Saccharomyces cerevisiae S288C: one gene and its partner. The gene in region 1 interacts genetically with each later gene. Each region holds a gene or a part of one and is shown in the gene's direction. Other genes may lie near its edges. The genes, in order: IMH1 and GIP2.

Region 1 (3,930 bases):
CAGCAAGAATGATGAAGAATAATTTGACTGCAGAACTATTGAAAGGTGAGCAAGAAAAATGGTTTGATATTTATTCCGAGGACTATAGTGATGACGATTCAGAAAATGATGAAGCTATCATCGATGACGAATTAGGATCTGAGGACTATATTGAACGCAAAGCTGCGAACATAGAGAAAAACCTTCCATGGTTTTTAACTTCAGATTATGAAACTAGTCTTGTCTATGACTCAAGAGGAAAAATTCGTGGCGGGACAAAAGAGGCACTGATTGAACATTTAACCAGTCATGAACTTGTTGATGCGGCTTTCAATGTTACAATGTTAATAACTTTCAGAAGTATATTAACCACAAGAGAGTTTTTTTATGCCCTGATTTACAGGTACAACTTGTATCCTCCTGAAGGGCTGAGTTACGATGATTACAATATTTGGATAGAAAAAAAGTCAAACCCGATTAAATGCCGTGTGGTCAACATTATGAGAACATTTTTGACGCAGTATTGGACAAGAAATTATTATGAACCTGGCATACCACTGATTCTAAATTTTGCCAAGATGGTTGTATCGGAGAAAATACCGGGGGCAGAGGATCTTTTGCAAAAGATAAATGAAAAACTGATAAATGAGAATGAGAAAGAACCAGTGGATCCTAAGCAACAAGATTCGGTATCGGCAGTCGTACAGACAACTAAACGTGACAATAAATCACCGATACACATGTCTTCGTCTTCTTTACCATCTTCTGCTTCTTCAGCGTTTTTTAGATTGAAGAAATTGAAGCTCTTGGATATTGACCCATACACATATGCCACACAATTGACTGTACTTGAACATGACTTATACCTCAGGATCACTATGTTTGAATGCTTGGATAGGGCATGGGGTACCAAGTATTGTAATATGGGTGGTTCTCCGAACATTACGAAATTTATAGCTAATGCTAATACGCTAACTAATTTTGTTTCTCATACCATTGTAAAACAGGCAGATGTCAAGACACGTTCAAAATTAACGCAATATTTTGTTACCGTTGCCCAGCATTGTAAAGAGTTGAATAATTTTTCTTCAATGACTGCCATAGTGTCCGCTTTGTATTCCTCCCCAATCTACCGACTGAAAAAGACATGGGATTTAGTTTCCACTGAGTCGAAGGACCTTCTGAAGAACCTAAACAACCTTATGGATTCCAAGAGAAATTTTGTGAAGTATAGAGAGCTGTTGCGATCCGTGACGGACGTTGCATGTGTTCCCTTTTTTGGTGTATACCTATCTGATTTAACATTTACGTTTGTCGGAAACCCAGATTTTCTTCACAATTCAACCAACATAATAAACTTCAGCAAGAGGACTAAAATCGCAAATATAGTGGAGGAAATTATAAGCTTTAAAAGATTCCATTACAAGCTGAAACGATTGGATGATATTCAGACCGTTATAGAAGCGTCTTTGGAAAATGTCCCCCACATTGAAAAGCAGTATCAATTATCACTGCAAGTGGAACCGAGATCAGGAAACACCAAAGGCAGTACGCATGCTTCTTCTGCTAGCGGTACAAAAACTGCAAAATTCCTAAGTGAATTTACAGATGATAAAAATGGCAATTTTTTGAAGCTAGGTAAGAAAAAACCTCCTTCTAGGTTATTTCGATAAAAGTTTATACAATTTGCTAATCAAGAAGAACCTTAGCTTTATGTTTGATTGCTACACTCTATTATTTAAGATGGCTGCTTTTACTTAATATTCTTCGTGATAATACTGTACTGGTGGAGTGTTTTTCGTTTTCGAGGATTTGAGAGTACGCTTCATTTGCAGTTCTTCTTGATAAAGTTCGTTTTATATATATATATCTATTTTATATCTTTATATATTTTATTACACCCAGTTAAGTTATCGATCCAAGATTTTAAATGCCCGATTAGAGGAAACTTATTACCTGAAAAAATATCAATTAGTGATTCTATGAAAAGCTATTACCCGCATTCTCATAGTTCGGATTTTCAGATCCAGCAATATAAGAGAACCAAATGTAGCAGAAACGTCAAATAGTAAGCAACAGGAGTTACATTTGAGGTGATTTTAACTTAGGGAAACATTTGCTGATTCAATGTTCAAACAGCTGTCACAAATTGGTAAGAATCTTACCGATGAATTAGCGAAGGGCTTAGCCGATGATATGAGCCCTACCCCGTCAGAACAACAAATCGAAGATGATAAGAGTGGCTTGCCAAAAGAAATACAAGCTAAATTAAGAAAATTTGAGAAATATGAACAAAAATACCCTTTGCTACTCTCCGCATACAAAAATGAAAAATTAAAGTCAGAGAAGTTAGAGGCTGTTGAAAAGATTTTAGCGGAAAATACACCCATATCTAATATTGACGACGCAGTGGATACGTTGCCAGCTTTTTTCCAGGATTTAAACAACAAAAATAACCTATTGAATGATGAGATCAAGAGATTAACTAAGCAGAACTCGGAAATTCCAGAAAGCGCCTCTAGTGAAACTCTGAAGGATAAAGAAGAGGAATTTTTGAAAAAAGAGCAAAATTATAAAAATGACATAGACGATCTAAAAAAAAAAATGGAAGCTTTAAACATAGAATTGGATACTGTACAAAAAGAAAAAAATGATACTGTTTCAGGTTTGAGAGAAAAAATAGTTGCACTGGAAAATATACTAAAGGAAGAAAGGGAGGCCAAAAAACAGAAAGAAGAAGTATCTATATCCGAACTGAAGGAAGAATTGGCTATAAAGAACCATTCTCTCGAGGACAGTCGAATGAAGATAACCGAATTGGAGCAAAATTTGTCTTCGAAAAGTACTATAATGGAGGAAAAGTCCTCAGAGTTGGCAGAACTAAATATTACTTTAAAAGAGAAAGAGCGCAAGCTGAGTGAATTGGAAAAAAAAATGAAGGAGTTACCGAAGGCGATATCTCATCAAAATGTAGGAAACAATAACAGAAGGAAAAAGAATAGAAACAAGGGAAAGAAAAATAAGGGAGGCATAACTACGGGTGATATCAGTGAAGAGGAAACGGTCGATAACTCAATCAATACTGAAGAATATGATAAGCTTAAAGAAAATTTGCAAGAATTACAAGAAAAATATAAAGATTGTGAAGATTGGAAGCAAAAGTATGAAGATATAGAAGCAGAACTAAAAGATGCTAAAGAATTGGAAAACTCACAGCTCGAAAAATCAGCAAAGGAGCTGGAAACCCTTAACACCGAGTTGATCGATACCAAGAAGTCATTGAAAGAAAAAAATTCGGAGCTAGAGGAGGTGAGAGATATGCTGAGGACTGTAGGCAATGAGCTTGTGGACGCAAAAGATGAGATTAAAGAGTCTTCGAGTAAACAAAATGAAGAAGTGAAAACCGTTAAGCTGGAGCTCGATGATTTACGCCATAAAAATGCAACGATGATCGAGGCCTACGAAGCTAAAAATACTGAGTTGAGAAGTAAGATAGAGTTATTGAGCAAGAAAGTAGAGCATCTGAAGAATTTATGTACAGAAAAGGAGAAAGAGCAGACTACATCGCAGAACAAGGTAGCCAAATTAAATGAGGAGATATCTCAACTTACCTACGAAAAATCAAACATAACAAAGGAGCTTACTTCTTTAAGAACCTCTTATAAACAAAAGGAAAAAACTGTGAGTTACTTGGAGGAACAAGTTAAACAATTTAGTGAGCAAAAGGACGTGGCTGAAAAATCCACAGAACAGCTGAGAAAAGATCATGCTAAAATTTCTAACAGATTAGACTTATTAAAAAAGGAAAATGAGACACTGCATAATGATATCGCAAAGAATTCTAATTCCTACGAGGAGTATTTGAAAGAAAATGGTAAATTATCGGAAAGATTGAATATTTTGCAAGAAAAATACAATACCTTGCAAAATGTAAAAAGTAATTCGAATGAA
Region 2 (3,930 bases), on another chromosome or scaffold:
AGACATTGCACTAAGCACAAGCTTACCTGTAGCGTTGGTCTTTCTGCCCGCTGCAGATATTCCAACTTTTGTTGGTGAAGGTAAATGTGATCTTGGTATAACTGGTGTTGACCAAGTTCGTGAATCTAACGTCGACGTAGACTTAGCAATCGATTTGCAATTTGGTAACTGTAAATTGCAGGTACAAGTCCCCGTAAATGGCGAGTATAAAAAGCCAGAACAGTTAATTGGCAAAACCATTGTTACCAGTTTCGTGAAACTTGCTGAAAAATACTTTGCCGATTTGGAAGGTACTACTGTTGAAAAAATGACCACAAGGATAAAGTTTGTCAGTGGTTCCGTGGAGGCATCATGTGCTCTGGGAATTGGTGATGCTATTGTAGATCTTGTAGAGAGTGGTGAGACAATGAGGGCAGCAGGTTTAGTTGATATTGCCACCGTCCTAAGCACAAGTGCCTACCTAATAGAATCAAAGAACCCAAAGAGCGATAAGAGTTTGATTGCTACTATCAAATCAAGAATTGAAGGTGTCATGACCGCTCAAAGGTTCGTTTCATGTATTTATAACGCACCTGAAGACAAGCTGCCTGAACTGTTGAAGGTGACGCCTGGCCGTAGAGCACCAACCATTTCCAAAATTGACGATGAAGGATGGGTTGCTGTTAGTTCCATGATTGAGAGAAAAACGAAGGGTGTTGTTTTAGATGAATTGAAAAGACTCGGCGCATCTGATATCATGGTTTTCGAAATTTCTAATTGTCGTGTATAAGATAGAACAGAAAAAGGGAAGCCAAATCCCGATTAATTTTGTATTTTTTATAGGCAATAATTTGATAGAGTTCTATCTTATTCTAAGTTACCCCTCATGACTTCCCAAGTGTGTTTTGAGGTTATCTCTGTGAATATTTTTTCTTTTTTTTTGCTACTTCCCCAGGAAGTTAAATCTTCGTAGCATATTTGTCAGCTTTACTACCGTCTTCATGCTCATGAAACCTTCTTCTTCAACCCCCTTCATTTCTCCAATTTTCGAAAACTGGAGCTACCCATAAATATTCGGAGTTTTGTAGGTATTTTTATTTTGGAGAAAACCTGTACAAACTCTCCCCAGGGAGCATAGATTGGGGATCGTAACGCATAAAGCTGTCTAGAATGCATTTTTCCATGCTACGTCGATTTTTTGCCCGGAAGAGGCTGACGTAGCGCTGGAAGGTACCGACAACTATGCCTATTGTGGAGATGGGCGGCAAACTCCTGTCGCAGAGTGGGGGCGGGGAAAGGTTCTTTTTGCCGTGGAATGAAGCGCATAAAAGAAAAACAGTATGCCATATTAAGTCTTTTTAAGGGGAAAGGGGCTGCTACCATGAGGTCTTTTACCAAAAATGTGTATCAGCTACGCTTCTCAATGAAGGGGCCAAGAAGTTCGTTCTATCCAACAGGAAATATTTCGATATTGCAACGGTCTTTCTATATCTTGCATATTCTTCTTCAGGTTGAGTTCCTTTATATATACTGCATTGCGTAATAAGCAACACAGGGCCCATCCGTTCAACAGAAGAAAACTAAAGCTTTTCAAACATAGCCTTTCCAGTTCAGTGCATATTTATAGAAGGTAAACCTGCATACAATACGGTTAAAACAATAGGAACGAAAAGAAAGCTAGACGGGAAAGCAGTTACTAAAGGCAGGGTTGACGGGACGTTTAAAGAGAGAAGTCTGGTTTATAAAACCTTTTAGTAGTAAAAAAGGAAAAGAAACAAGGAAGGTTGGCATTCTGTTTGATTGAGGAGAAAGGAACCACATTGGACTTTTTTTTTTCTTTCTGTAAGGTATAGTTTTTAGTAGGCTGAACATCAAAAAGATCTCCGTTGTACTCAGAAACAAGTTTAATAGGAACGGGTACAGATATCTTGTCAAAATTTTATTCTTACAGCCCAAGTTTATTAGGATTTCATCAACGCAACAATGTATATAAAGGCAGAACAGAAACCCCAACAGTTTGAGAGGAAGAATGAAAAACTAGACAGAAATAAAAACCAGCAGCTACCAGATCTTGAAACAGATTTCAAGGGTTACAGAGTGAATTCGGACCTATACAACAAAGAACGAGATGGAAGTACGGAAGAGACTTTAAACTCTTTGAAGTTTTTACATAAACCTCAGAGAGTAACTCAAATGAGAGCGAACAGGTTCCCAGAGGAAGAAGTGCAAAGAAACACTGATTTAAACAAAAGAATTTTCTCCGCAGGGAATGATGAAAACGTTGATAATGAGAGCGGCTGGTCAAAAATTGCCGCTGCCAAGAATCACACTTCCGTAGAATCATTAAATGGCAGTACGAGACCCCCATTCAAAATAGAGCTGCCTCCCCTTTCCCCCAAATCCACCGTACCAAAATCTTTTCAAGCAGAATATCCCGAAGCTAAGTCACCTGGCAATGATATGAATTTTGAATATGATGAAGAAATTCTAATTCCATTTGCGCCACCTGTATATAAAAAGTCAGGTGAACTATTGAAGAGCTCATTGAAGAGAAGATCAAAATCATTACCTACAACCCCAGGTATAAGGAGCGGGAATGGTGTCCAAGCAAGAGACGGTAGTCCGATGTTGATTAGGAGTAAGAGTGTTCACTTTGATCAGGCGGCACCTGTAAAATATTTTGCTGAGGATGAAAGCCCTATAAACGTTAATAAAACTGAACAACACGATAATTGTCTAAGCTTTAAGCATAAGCCAGTGAATTTAATGGTGGACCCGGAAGAAGAGACAAAAATGCTATCATCTGGATTAGAAACGACATCCATAGATGATGACTTGACGACAGTTGCGCCAAAAGGCTTCGCACATCCTGCTAAAATTTCGAATCCAAACAATGGTAAAGGCACCAACAATACAAAATTAAGAAAAAGTAAAAGATTTCAGAACCTCCTAAAGAACAGGACCGACATGCCACCATCAAAATCAAATAAAAAATTCGTTAATGGTGGCGGTGCTCATGAAATTTCAGATCGTAATTCAAAAAATTACCATGTTGTTGGATTATACAGCAAGAACTTCCCCATTTTAAGCAACAAGAATCCTAAAAGTTTAAAGCTGAACATTTTTATCAATTTATCACAAAATAAGAAAGTTTTTCTACAAGAATTGTCATTATACATCCATAGAGACAACAATTACTTTTCAAATTCCTCCTCATTTTATAATATTCCCAATAGCCACAATGGTAATGACTGTAATGGTGTGGCCAAGGGTTATAACGCTGGCTGTACAAGATTAATTGCTGGAAGGATACTAGTGAAAAACATTTTCTATGATAAAAGAGTGGTGGTACGATATACGTGGGATAGTTGGAGAACAACACATGAAGTGGAATGCGTTTACATCAGTGATGGCGATGGAATATTGCCGGGCACTAACATGGACATTTTCCACTTCATTATCGATGATGTCAGCAAAGTGGATCCTCGCGGCAAGTTAGAATTTTGCATTCATTATTCTACACGTAACGACTATGAGCGCGAAGAGTACTGGGACAACAACAACGGGAATAATTATAAGGTGGATGTTGTAATGGATGGCTTTAACGATCCCTTCGCGGCGGCAGCATGAAGGCAACCAGAAGGAAGGAGATGAAGAATGGACATAAAAAGCAAAATGACTTGCTAGATCTTGGCCTGAGTTACTCTCATGATTGGGACCGAACTCCGATAAATAACTCTAAAACATGCTAGAATATTTCAAGTAAATATACATAAATCACAAATAAGCAAATAAACAGATAAATATCTCACAAGAAATCGGGAGCCGATCTTCGATGTGTGTGGGCGTATATACAAATGTGCATTCGGCACGTAAAAGACTGGTAAAGGCTACCGTCCTTCAGTGAGCATTTTTTACATTCATTCAACGCTATACAGCTCTTACTGTGCG

The links.
Region 2: mutations in IMH1 (region 1) and GIP2 together harm fitness more than expected from each alone (negative genetic interaction), as found in Saccharomyces cerevisiae (one large-scale study listed by BioGRID).

Annotation. Positions count from the first base shown.
Region 1 is NC_001144.5:749,946-753,875, reverse strand, and holds the start of IMH1 (Imh1p), read left to right. Parts: upstream 1-2,106; coding exon 2,107-3,930. Other genes in the region: Ras family guanine nucleotide exchange factor CDC25, read left to right, coding at 1-1,652. UniProt on the Saccharomyces cerevisiae protein: Involved in vesicular transport between an endosomal compartment and the Golgi apparatus.
Region 2 is NC_001137.3:261,731-265,660, reverse strand, and holds GIP2 (Gip2p), read left to right. Parts: upstream 1-1,962; coding exon 1,963-3,609; downstream 3,610-3,930. Other genes in the region: HIS1 (ATP phosphoribosyltransferase), read left to right, coding at 1-769.